Linked DNA regions of Drosophila melanogaster. The protein of the gene in region 2 purifies or fractionates together with the protein of the main gene of each other region. This does not show direct contact. Each region holds a gene or a part of one and is shown on either strand. Other genes may lie near its edges.

Region 1 (4,934 bases), on a different chromosome or scaffold from region 2:
TTCTTGGTTTAATCTTTTTCAGGACCTGGTCAATCGGATCTATAATTATTTCTCAACGCCATAGAAATCAATTATAGCAACTCAACAGCATCATAAAGAAATCGAAACGAAACTGAATATTAATCAGATTGCTTGTTATAGTTATGTAGTTTAAGTACCAGACACTCTGAGGATCGCCACAATCAAATAACTTGGGAACGGGAACAAGTTTTTAGTAAAATTTCTTTACACTAACAAACATCATTGTAACTGAGAATCGAAAGTTTTTATTGTTGAACGCGATTTGGTAGCAGCACTAAAACCATACAAAACAATTCTAACACAACTACGAAGCAAATAGCGAAAGCGAATATATACTAATCCTAAAAGTTAAGATAAAGAATGCAGGTGCAATGAGGTAGCAACGAAACGAAACAAAATCCAAGAAATCGACTATGCTTGATATGTATCCGGATAACACGAAAGCGCACATCAAACACGACTAATAATATATTAAATATTTTTGTTACTTGCGAACAATATTATTTCATTTATGAATATTATCTTTTGTTTGTCATCAATATTTATTATTTTACTTAGTTCGTATGCATACGAACGTTCTGCACATTTATTTGAATATTATTATTTGATACATAAATAAACTATATTTTGTGTTGTACAATTTTATATGCAGTAAACATTTTTAGTAAATAAAGAAGTCAAATCAAAAAACTTGTACTTGTTTGTATACAATATCGATGGAAATAAAACCGACGATTTGGCTCTTGAATACATGGCCCATACAAAAATAAAACACTTGTAGAGGTGCAGAGAAGCCAAGTGTAGCAAAACCTTTTCATACTGTTACGTTTTTGTTTAAATTCGTTACATGAGTATACATACTTCATAACATACAATATTTTCATATTTCATAGTTTGGACTTGCTGATCGATGTGTAACGCCAACTTTAAATTGTTAGCTACTAGCGTTACAATCAACTAACTTTTAACTCTAGATTATATACCGATATTGCATAGTCACTTAATTTGAATAGTTTGAAAAGCTATATGAACATTAAATGCATATGTTAAGTATGTTAATAGTTTACGTATTTACTATGAAAAACCTTCAACAGTAAGTTTTTATAGTTGGCATCGAGATAATTTCCATTTGTACAACTTATCCCATATGAGATCAGCAATATAATATGCTTAACAACTGAATATACAATATTTGTTTAAAAATAGCAACAAAACTCGTAGATACATTTTGTAAAGTTATTGTGTACAATATTGCTTGGCTAGGTAACTTTTATATATTTCTCACATACCATTTAAGTGGCTAGACTGTCCACCTGGACTTCCATCAGCTCTTGCACAATGCGATACTCATGACAGTCGGAGCACAGTAGGCGACCATTCGAACGGTTTGAGCGCTGCGCCTTCTCATGACAGACAATGTGCACTAGTTTGAGATTCTTTAGGGAGAATATTTCTAGAAAGTACTCCAGTACTGAGATATCGACCACTTGCTTCTTATGAATTGAACACTTGGTCTGCGGATGACTCACAAGTTCTTCCACATTTGCAACAAGTGCGGGAAGGATTGTGCGGCACAGTTCGATTTGGTGGTCCAGATTCCAGACCTGAAACAAAATGAGATTCTCACGCGAAGCGTACGGATTAATAGTGTGCTGCTTAGAGCAGCTGTTGCCATTCTCCGAATAGGAGCCCTGGCAATAGAAGTCACCCAAGTCGGAGCACAAGGAAGTGGACCATTCGTCGAGGATGCAGTTTTCCTTGGTGTACTCCCTAATCACCTGCCTCAGTCTCTTGCTGGGTATCCTGCCAGCGTCTGTTTCCTCGTCGCCCAAGTGCTGCTTCAGGAATTCATGCTTTTGCTTGCAATTCCGGTCAAACATCATGGAGAAAAAGTCGCAACCGATGAGCAGGTATCGAAACTTCTCCAGCACAGAGTTTATCACTTGTCGGGCCTTGGCATTTTGGCGGTACAAGGGATTGCGGGTCAGCTCCTCCTTGGCCTTATAGTAGTAGCCTCGCACACGTGTCTGGGCACGTGTGGCCATAGCTTCCTCCTTAGAGTGGAAGCGCTCCTCGCCGCCCGTGAACCACTCCACGTGCTCGGCCTTTAAGCTGAGGTGGGTCTTGCTGTTATCCAGGACGCGTCGCTGCTTTTGGTGTTCATACTCCGTTATCATGCGGCGGAACTTTTCCGGATGCTGTTCGATAAAATCGTAGAAAATGTCAGCCACCTTTAGCAAAGGCGATTGTTGTCGCATCTTCTCAAACTCAAAATCGGCATCTAATAGAAGACAGATTAATTGTGATTAAGTTAAATATTTAAACTGCAGCTCACCTGTTGTAATGACTGCATCCGGGCCAGACACTATGAACAGCGTCTGGGCGGGTAGGCTTTTTAAGTACTCATCGTCGGACACCTCGAAGCCATCAGAAGCCAAATACAAATGTGGCTCGAGAAGCTAAAAGGTAAAAAAAAAACGATTTAATTGTAATGCCCTTGACATGGCCGAATTATAACGAGGCCAGGTCGCCCAATTCCTGGTTCAGGGGCCTTCAGTTTGTTTCACATTTCTCTTTTTTTTTTTTTGCCAGGCAAGGACGTTCCATCAACAGGTGGTTAGCTCTACTATACAGGACATGCGCATTGGCATTTACTAGTGGCATTGAAAGAGAGCCAAACAAACGCGGAAGCCACTGCCAGGGACATGGCCTTGAAAATTACCAGAGCCAGGAACTTTCAGCCCATCTACGTGGGTGGGTGTATATTTCGCGCTTTTACGCAGGAGTTTTTCCTGTTTTTTTTTTCTTACCGGGAACTTGCTTTTTGCCTTGGCTATCAGCATTTCCAGGGAATTGGCTCCGATTCCGTATTTCCTCGTTCGCTCGTTGTCAGTAACCTTGTAGCCACGCATTGGAGCACCTGCTGTTCCCCTGGATTCGGATGAGCTCACATCCTTGAGAACTTCGCCTGTTGGCTGGCTGCTTTTCTTGTTATTCGAGCTGCTGCGTGTTGTCGGTGACATGATTGCATCTCTAATGTAGCTGATCATCGTTCTGGCTCATAATAAAGTCAACTTTGGAATGTAGTCCTCGCAGCAAGTTTCCTTATCCGCGGACAAAGCAAAATAAACTAGCAGAACAAGGCATTTTTCGCGCTTCTCAACACTAGATTCTCATTGAAAGATTCTTTAGTTGTGCTGCAATTTTAGCTAAAAATTGCAAAAAGCTATATAATAATAATTTATTTTTTCCCGTGTTTTGTAATTAACGAAATATTTTTTATATTTTTATTAATCAATTCAAATTGATAAAATTTTCATTTATTCTTAAATTAAATAATGTGTAAATTAATAAAATGAAAATAGCCAAATTAATAAAATACAAGTTGAACGGCGCATTTCCCACCACTATTGCCTTCAGTGTTTTGCAGCACTTATGCATCTAAAAACAGCTGTTCGGGTAATCATTTTTTTTGTTAAAAGTTTCTGTGGAAAAACTATAACAAACGTAGTCTTAGTGTACAATGATCTGGGCTACGGGCTCCGCGTAATCCGCAGCTCACCCGGAAAGGCGTTTTACGATGAATCTACGGCCGCGATGCCGCAAGTGGCTGCCCCTAGCCACCCAGCAACTTCGACTGCGGAACCTTAACAGAATTCAGGGATTCAATATTGAGTCCTGGCCGCATGAGAAGTCGCTGGAGCTAGATGATCCGGATGATGTGCTCCTCTACTACACACTACACACGGACAAGGCTAGCGAAGCGTTCTACACCAGCGAAAAGCTGCCGCAGCGTCACCAACAGCAAAAGTGGGCGGAGATTTGTACGGACGACGAGGCCTGGCGGAAAACCAATGCGCAGTGTGTCTGTGTCAAGGTGTGGAAGCACTATTCGGCGGAAAGAAGAGATGGCCAACCGCCTGAGGTTGAGCAAAGACATAAGGATGTTTTCGGGTAAATAGGAGACTTTGCTTGCAAATAGAACTCTGCTATCATCAACCAACTTACTTCCAGAAGATCCCAGTTAACGCCCAGCAGGCTGCCACGCCCTCCTGAACTACTGTTCAGCTGGGGCGTCTACTTCTCCGGCCTTATACCTCTGTCTCCCCTCACATTGTCCCAGTGCGGACGAAATTGCTTGGTCTTTCAATTGAATGGCGAGCAATTTGCCTCCCCGTCGATGATAAGCGAGCAGGCCTTGCAGTCGCAGCTGCATTTGCACTACCAAAAGTATGCGGAGGAAGAGAAACTAGAAGAGCCGCAGGATGAGGGCATAAACTCGCCGGCCGTTAGTCGTAGTTCGAGTCCCGTGCTGCGAATGAGTACGATGCGCTATGCACAGCTGAAGTGCCAACGGCAGGAGATTCGGCGAAGCAACAACCTCGAAAAGCTTCTCACGTTGCAACGTCTGCAACGCTTGCATCAGCAGAAGCGGCGTCAAATGGCCGAGGTTTGCCGAGAAATAGCCCGCCTCAGTGTACACTGTGTGACCAGGAACGAGCTGCGCTTGAAGCCCCGCACGACATCGCTGTCCGGCGACTACTCCGCCCATCAGTACCATTCCATGGGCCGCGCCCTGAGCGTGTTGCTCGCCGAGCAGCAGCAGATCGCGCCCCTCACGCTTTATAATGCCCAGCAGCTAACTAGAAGGATAGAAGCGCTAAGCAGTCAACAGCGGCTACTTAAAGCGGAGCGGGAAACGTTTCGCCAACGAAACGAGCGCACCCGTCAACTTCTGAAGGAGATGAGAGAACAGCGGGAGGCACAGCAATGGGAGCTCCACAGCCAGCGACATCGACTGGAAAAAGAACGTCTGGAGCTACGAACCCTGGCACCTCAACATCTGGAACAGCGCGATCAAAAAAGACAAATAGAACGGCAGGTGGGGCTGCGGAATCAAATAACATTAAACA
Region 2 (8,031 bases):
CATCATACACATCAAAAGCAGTCAAAGCGATTTTCAGTTACATTTTTAATATTTTTGGGCACTTTTCGCCCCATGATTTTTCTTTTTTCCCCTGCCAGCAGGATGAAAATCGTCGAGGGCGCAAATTAAAAGAGCAGCCAAGGAATGGGAACCGAAAAAGGGATGTGCTGTGTTAGTAGGGGATATTGAGTATGCAAAGGCCACAGGACGCTGGATTCAATTCATCAAAGCCAGGGCCACGCCCACAAAGAGACCCTTGCTGTGGGGCGCTGTCGTCACGAATTTGGGTCACCCGGGAGCTTTGAACTGTGTTAGTAGGCCATCGCAATCAGCTAGCCAGGACCTGCAAACGTCATGGTGCAGTGACGTCACGAAGGAAGTTGAATGGCAAAAGAGAATGGCGTCGAGTAATGCAATTATATGGCAGCAGCAGGTGTAGGACTCCCACTCTCTTGCTCTCTCGAACTGGAAAAAAGGGAAATGGAAGAAGCGGTGAAGGAAGGGGAAACTCTCTTTTGCCAGCGGAAGAGCAGGATGCAGTCCATACGCCCTGTTGCACACGCTTTGTGCGTTGCGCATACGCCCCGTTTGCCAGTTATGCTAGTTCAATCAACTTTAGTTTAATAATCATTTATTTATTACTTGGTTTCGTGTATATAGTTTGCCTCGGGGTTTTCACTTGCATTTACTGTATGCTTTTCACTATATTTAATAATTGTTCACTGTTTGCATTCGGTTTTAGATTTCGTTTACGTTTACGGTTTCCCTTATTGCTTATTCGAATTGTAGACAGTTACAGTTACCAACTTTGATTGGGCAATTGCAATTTGCGTTATTGTGTTCCATTATTGTTTAATTAGCTAACAATGTTTGCGCTGTCGCTTAAATTCATTTGGCTATGGATTCGGGGGCGGGAAGACGGGGATTCTGGGAGGACAGGGCAGCAGCGCTGGAGGCTTCCATCCGATCTTTCCCGAACCGCTCAAACCACGAAAAAACCTATTACACATAAATTCAGTCAGTCTCAATTGGCCTTTAACGAATGACATTCACAATGGCATTGGTCTAAAAACAATATTTGATGTGCGTTTCCACTCTACCTACTATTCGTAACACAATTTACACGGTAAGCAAATCAACAGTTTCCTGGGACAACTCCATCCAATTGGGGTTCGCTCTGGTTGTGGGATTCTACCTCAAGTATAATACTTATTTCGCTAACCTTTGATTATTATTCATCTAGTACGGCTTGGTGTGACTCGTGTATATGCGGTTAAATACGATTCCGCTGACTGTGATTGCTAAAAGACTTTTCAAATCTGCGCGGGCCTCTTGTTCTCTTGAGCCTCGTGACCCGGTGTTTAAATCTAGTACGTGTATTGTTCGTTAACTTTCATTTGCTCTTAGATACTATGAAGCATTTTCAATGACTTGATTTCGTCTCCGTTTCGTTTTTGCTGATTTCGCAGTGCCTAATTACATGCTACAAATACGATTTATGTTAACCCAATGTTGCAGGACTGATGTCTTCGGTATATCCTTTTGGCTCTTGATTTTGATTGGCGCACCCAGTTGCGTTAGTTTTCCGCCGGCAGACTTTACCTAAGACTGCCCAAAATGGGCAGTCAGATGTCGCCGTTGGCATTTGGATTTCTATTTGGATTGGCATTGGCCTCATTGGCAGCCGCTTCGGCAGCGGAGGATCCCATCGCTCCACTGGCTGTGGCGCAAGTGGTGGTGGCCTCGCCCACCGTAATTGTTATCGTCGTGTTTTGATTGTCGCACTGCACCACCTCGATGGTGCGGGTGTTGCTCGTCGTTGTGGTGCTCATCTGTCCACTCTCCGCCTCGTTCAACTGCCGTCCAATCTCCCGGTCAATGGCCTCCGCATCCTCGGGATAACGTTCCGAGCAGAAAATGGCACCAGCTTTCAATAGCTTCAGCAGATTTAAACGATCCTCGGCATTCCGCTTGGCACACAATGGCCTAAAGTCATGAAATCATGCTACAATTAAGTGGTATATGGGAAAGGAATTAAACTCACCTTCCCGCATCCTTGAGCTGCTCCATAAACTCCTTTCCCGTGATGTCCACCAACGAGTTGGGATCCATGTTGGAGAGTGAGTCCAGATCGGCATCGTTCATCACGGACACGTTGCAGAGGTTGTTCTGCAGCTGGCCCACCAACTGGCGGATGCGAGCCGACTCCGAGTTGTTGGCATCGGTGGTGTCGCCCTCGCCTCCTCCGTTCAGCTCTCCGTTTCCAGTTCCTGCCTCGTTGCCATGTGGAGTGGTTATCGTCACGTAGTGAGTGGGCTATAAACAGAGTGCAGATAGCATTTAATTTAATCTTCCTGGCTTTGGTCCCATGCTCATGGAGCTCTTTCATGGCATTCAAGAAATAATGCAATTAGTCATTATGGCAGATAAAAGGAGGGACACATAAAATGAGCTATCCAATTAAGCGGTGTTCACTTTGAGAAATGAAAATTACACAATCGCAAAACGAATTTATTGAGGTGATTTAAATAAAAAAGGTGCTGATATAATTATTTTTAAGTGCCTGTTTTCCTTTTCCTTTTATTTAAGGGCTACTCACATCGATCCAATGTTCTCCGGGAAAGACGGCCACCAGTTCCGTATTCTCGTCGAGGGTGCGAAAGTACTCCTCATCATCGATCTCCGTGCCGTCGGAGTCCAGGTGGATGGTGGGCAGGTGGTCGCACTTCTCGAACTTCTCCGCCACCTTGCTGCGGATCTCCTCCAGACTGGAGGCGCAGACAGCCTTCTTAATGTTGCGTGTTACGTCCTTGACCTGGCCATAAAAACGCAGAAGGACAGTGCCGGGAAAAGGGAATAATAAACCATTACACGTTTGCAATTACGGAGACAGTAGCAGTTACACATGGCCCCGCTCATCAAATGAATAATAAATTAATGTCAGATGGGAAACAACTGAGGTCCTATAAAATATTCACATCGTCGGCACCCAAAATAAGAAAACGGAAAAACATCGAAATGGGAAAAGTTGTAAATTTTCCTTTAGCTGCACCCTTTTTCTTGAGACAACAACGTGAACGGAATGGAGAAACTATGGAAACTTTCCGCCTGATTTATTCATTATCCTCCCGCTTGCACTTAATTATTCAGTCTGTTTCTCTTTTCAACGCAAACTTTACCCTGTTTTTATAGTTATTTAATTAGGCAATCTTTGAAAATTCCATTAAACAAAGAGAAAAGATAAATAGTAGCGCAAGTTGCTAAATAATAAATACACAACCACATTTCGACGCTGATTGTTTTCCATTCCCCGAAAAATCGCAATGAATAAATGAACGCAATATTTGCGACCACGTCATGTCCTGCTGTCAAATGTCCATTTGCTCTAATTGAGATTTATGGACGGCTTTTTCCCGGTGGGGGATGTCACCACCTTAAAGTGCCTCCCACAGCCCGACGACTTTGTGCATATTTCAGTTGCGAATGCCGAGTTCCATGAGCTCCTCTACTTTTGCTCGAGATCTCGAACGCAGTTTGACATGCACTCTAGCAGCTGCGGTGCAAATATTTGTCGTTTATCTCCCACTCCCCGATTCCCTGGCGTATCCTTTTAAATTTTCTTTTTATTTGACAAGTTATGCATGTCAGCATTCTTCATGCTGCATGCTCCTTCGCGAATGCCATAGGTTAGTGCTGTTCGCCGGTTGCAAGGACGAAGGACGCAAGCCTTTGGCTCTATTAAACTTGCATGCGATGTTAAATGATGCCTCAGCACTAAGGTTAAACGAAACATAAATTAGACCCGTCCAGATGGAGGCTCAAGGAGGCGCAACTTTAAGGGAGCAAGCGGCACGAATGCATTCCACCCAGAATTTATAGCCCCGAAACGTCGGACAGCGTGCAACTCCTTGAGGTCCTTCATGAATATTTGAGAGCACCGTGACTAAATGAAATTGTACTCGAGTTTGCATTTCGAACATTTCATTTTACTCGTGCGCCTAGCTGCTCTATCATCCCAATTCCATTTGCTCAGATAGCGGAGGAGGTCGTCCCTAAATTATCTTATAAATACTTAAAGCCACATAACTTTTGTGCCGCGAAAGCTCCAAATATTAATCATATCATGAATGCGGCGTGTGGGGCTAGAACTTTGTAACAATGAAAACTTTGCCCAACTACTGGCGCATTTGACAAGTGGGAGTCGCGGCAGCATCGAAAACAAAAGCATAGTTTTTGTTCGGAAACTTGTCAAAAGTTTTAGTCGATCGCATTAGTTGATTTTTCAAGTGGCGTCGATTTTTCAAGCGGTCGCAATTCAATTAGCAGTTTATCTAATTACCCGCAAAATTATACAAAGCTTATACAAATCAGAAACAAGATTTATTCGGAAAGTAAACATGTTTCAAAAGTGTTTCAAGTTGTTTCTTGAATGGAAATGCTATTAGGTTATATCATTAAGAGCAAATTTTTGGCACATCGTGGTAAGTAAAACTTTATTTTTTAATATTTAAATATAAGAATAATATTTAAATATTGAAATGAGCAAACACAAATGTTACCTACTTGCTACTGTTTAAGATACAAATTTCCAAACTAGCATCACTACAAGTTCAGGCTAATGTATGTGAAAGTCTAGATGAAATCAGTTAAGTGTTTTTCTAGAAGACCAGTTTATACACAAAAGTGTATGCAAAACGACTTGGGCAAATTGGTAGAGCAGCAGCGAGTTGAGGGCTTATAAATCTCAACTAACTCGAGCTGCTCAGCCATCAGGACCCGAGGGTCCTGGTCCACACATACGTACGTAGATGAACGTGCAACGACCTCCGGCGTCTGGCTCCGTTTTAGGAGCAGCCGAAGGAGACGTGCCAGGAACTCTATCATCTGCATCCAAGATGCGGGCAGAATCCACAAGTCGCAGGACATTTTAATATTTGATGGGCGTAGGCCGCAGATTTTCGAGTCGCTGGGGAAATTAGGCGACAACTTTAAATTGCTTTTGAACTATGCCGCGGCATTATGTAGATTGTTTAATAAATTATTAACAAAATGCCTGAGGCGGGTCGTGGGCGTGGCTGTTGGCTAATTACAGCGACATGTCGGGATGAAAAGTTTTCCCTTTTTAATGGCATTTTCATGGCTGTCATGGTATTTGACAGCTTTTAAGCCGATTTGCGTTTGGTGGTTTTTGAATTAAATATTTTAATAAGGAGCGGCATTTTAATGGATAAAGTGGGGGAGGGAATTCCTGGATGTTATCTCCAGTCATGTTTTACGAAAGTTGTTTTCTGTGTTTCACAGACAATTTAAATAGCTTTGTGGTTTATTGGTTTCCTTTGAGTTGTCAGCTGCATGTACTTCCAGTGGTTTTCTGCAACCTTAAGCACGTTTTTTACATCCCCATAATACTTTAAACAGCTTTCTGCTGTTTAAGCGGCAGATAAACAAATTAAACAGGAAACAATGGCCCAGCAGTCAAGTAAAACAAATGCTAAAGGCAAACAATTCCCAATACTCGAATCAAAAGGCAAATGCAAAGCTAGACAAACATGTAAAAAAAAGGACAAAGAGAAAGAAAGCAACTAAATAGTGTTTTTGAATTTGCAAAGTCAAATTTCAGGCAGTTAATGCTTATTACTGAGCTTTCGGCACTCTCTTAGCTTGAGCTTTTGGCTCTCTTGAGTTCTGAAGTTCAACCCAGTTTCCATAAGAATCCAAAAAAAAAGGAAAAAAAGTAGCGAACGCAGCACGCGGCCAACAACAACAAAGGCGAAAACAACAACGCCCAAAAATGGACATGCCAGGAAAATAATGCATGCACTTAAAATGCAATTGTTCGTCTGCGGCCTTTATTTCCATTTACAATTACAGGGGGAACTCACTTTGAAAGGCTTTTTGGAGTCGCCCGAGTTCGCTGCAGTCTCCATGGCTTTGTTTGCTCCAACTAAATTACTTATTCACTATGCACTTTATTTCCAGGCTTAATTGCTCCACATTAAATGACTTTTCTATAGATTTGATTACTTTTCGCTTGCTTCTTGCACTTGCACTCGGCGTCCGAACAAACAAACTTGGAATTTCCTTCCACAAGCTGCACTTCAAATGGGAATTAACAATATTTTCTCGGCTCCGCAGCGGAGCTTTCGTTGCGATGAGCACCGGTTTTGAAATGAGCGCGTTTTGCTCAAAAGCACTGCCTTTTATACGCAGAGAAAGGGCTTCTAACAGATGTTGAGTTCGAACTGCGAGTGCTCGCTTTTAAATGAATGTTAACTGATAGGTTCAAATAATATTTGTTTTATGTCCTATTGGCCATGTTTCTTTTTAATCATGATAAGTAAACATATTTTTGAAGCCTAACACTTTTTTTTTTTATATTTTTTTTTTTATAAATTATTCCCTGTAGATTTTGGTTATTTAATTAATTAATATTGTATCAATTTTTTGTAAAATAGGTAATAATGTGCTTCTAAAAGAAAACACTAAACAGATTAGAATTTTAAATATATTGAAACATAAAGCTTACAAAGAGAAAACAAACATAGTCAAAAACACGTTCTCTCTCGCTGAATATGTTAACATTTGGCTGTGGCCTAGTCCCTAGAAAACACAAAGAGTTTGCTGGAACAATCCTGGCTGAAAAGTTAAGGTGATTCCAGCAATCTAATCTCTATTTCCATCGGAAGGTGCTTTCGGATTCAATTAGTCCATTGGGAGGGGTTGCGCATTATCAGCCCAATGATATCCGGTGTTGTCAATTCGAAATCCCCTCGCCCGCTTGGAACCCGGCCAAAAGAGCAGTTGGACTACGCTTAACTTTCTACACAAGTGGCCAACACCCATTTAAATCTATATACATCTATTGCCATGCACACATCAACGAACCGTCCAGATAAGAAGAGCAAAAAGCAAACTTTTGACAAATGGCCAAAATACATGAAAGGAAAGCCAAAGCCGGAAGGTGGCCCCAGATTGGGTTCTCATCAGTTTGTGCACGGCGAAAAATAAAGATTCTGTTATGATACTAAAAACTAATAAAAACTATAACTTATTGCATACTTATCAGCGCCTAATTGAGCAAATGGATTCCATAAAGGATAAAGGTATGTAGGTATAAATAGGAATGAGTAGTTTTCTTTTAGTCATACGAATATCAACTAACTTTATATAATTCTCAAAAGTTTTTCCACGTATAAAACGGTACTGAATAGCCCGGAAAAGAGGTGGGCATGCAAGTATGGGGGAGATCAGAGATGGGGCAGCCTTAAATTGTCATCCTAGTGCGCACCATTGGTTCCTCGGATGCTGATGCTGCTTCTGCTGCTGGCAGTTTGCCCCGTTTGCTGTCATTGCACTGCACATAGTAACTTCTACGTGTCCTGCGGAGGAGAAGCAGCAGTGGGTGGTAGCTGTGACTATTTTAAGCGCAGGTCACTCGAAAGGACGCACAAGGACATTGGCTTGTGTGGGTGGCTGTGTCGCCTGCAGTTCGCAGGTCACGTGCATGCACCGCGGTGCATTGACCACGGACACGTTGACACATCGGCCGGAATCTGGGTTGAGCTCCACCTCGAAGCCAGGTGACAGGTAATTGCCTCACGGGCAATCAGGCAATAGGCAATATCGAGGGAAAACAATAAATCAACGCCTGGCGATATTGGTTTTACTAAGAAGCATCAAGCCGCTCGAGAATGTTTAGTTTAACTGAGCCAAAAAACAAAATACACATAAGATAGAGGATTATAAGGACAAAGAGCAAACAAAGAAACAGAATAACAAAAAACATTTCATCTTAACAACTTAATCTTTTGTCCAGACACAGACGTTTTAAATTCGGCCAAAAGGGCAGACACAACTAATTATCCTTTGCGCAATAAAAAAAAAGGATAACATAAGCGATTTAACACGGCTCAGTCCTTTTCAGTAACAGCTTGCGTCTGCCTGTTAACGAACAGAAAGCTGATATGCAAAAGGACCTCGTTAAAATTCAAGAGGACTTTCTTTCGCTGACTTCGTTTGAACCTCTTCATT

What was found.
Region 1: the proteins of Drep1 (region 2) and Drep4 fractionate together in Drosophila melanogaster (co-fractionation; 3 studies listed by BioGRID, with this or other methods). This does not show direct contact.

The regions. Positions count from the first base shown.
Region 1 is NT_033779.5:13,283,339-13,288,272, forward strand, and holds Drep4 (DNA fragmentation factor-related protein 4), read right to left. Parts: upstream 3,125-4,934; 5' UTR 3,072-3,124; coding exon 2,832-3,071; exon of another isoform or gene 2,614-2,831; intron 2,488-2,613; exon of another isoform or gene 2,481-2,487; coding exon 2,357-2,480; exon of another isoform or gene 2,303-2,356; coding exon 1,314-2,302; 3' UTR 574-1,313; downstream 1-573. Other genes in the region: Uvrag (UV-resistance associated gene), read left to right, coding at 3,602-3,975, 4,036-4,903.
Region 2 is NT_033778.4:12,042,760-12,050,790, reverse strand, and holds Drep1 (DNA fragmentation factor-related protein 1), read right to left. Parts: upstream 6,180-8,031; 5' UTR 5,928-6,179; coding exon 5,883-5,927; intron 2,816-5,882; coding exon 2,600-2,815; intron 2,317-2,599; coding exon 2,045-2,316; intron 1,987-2,044; coding exon 1,626-1,986; coding exon of another isoform or gene 1,599-1,625; 3' UTR 619-1,598; downstream 1-618.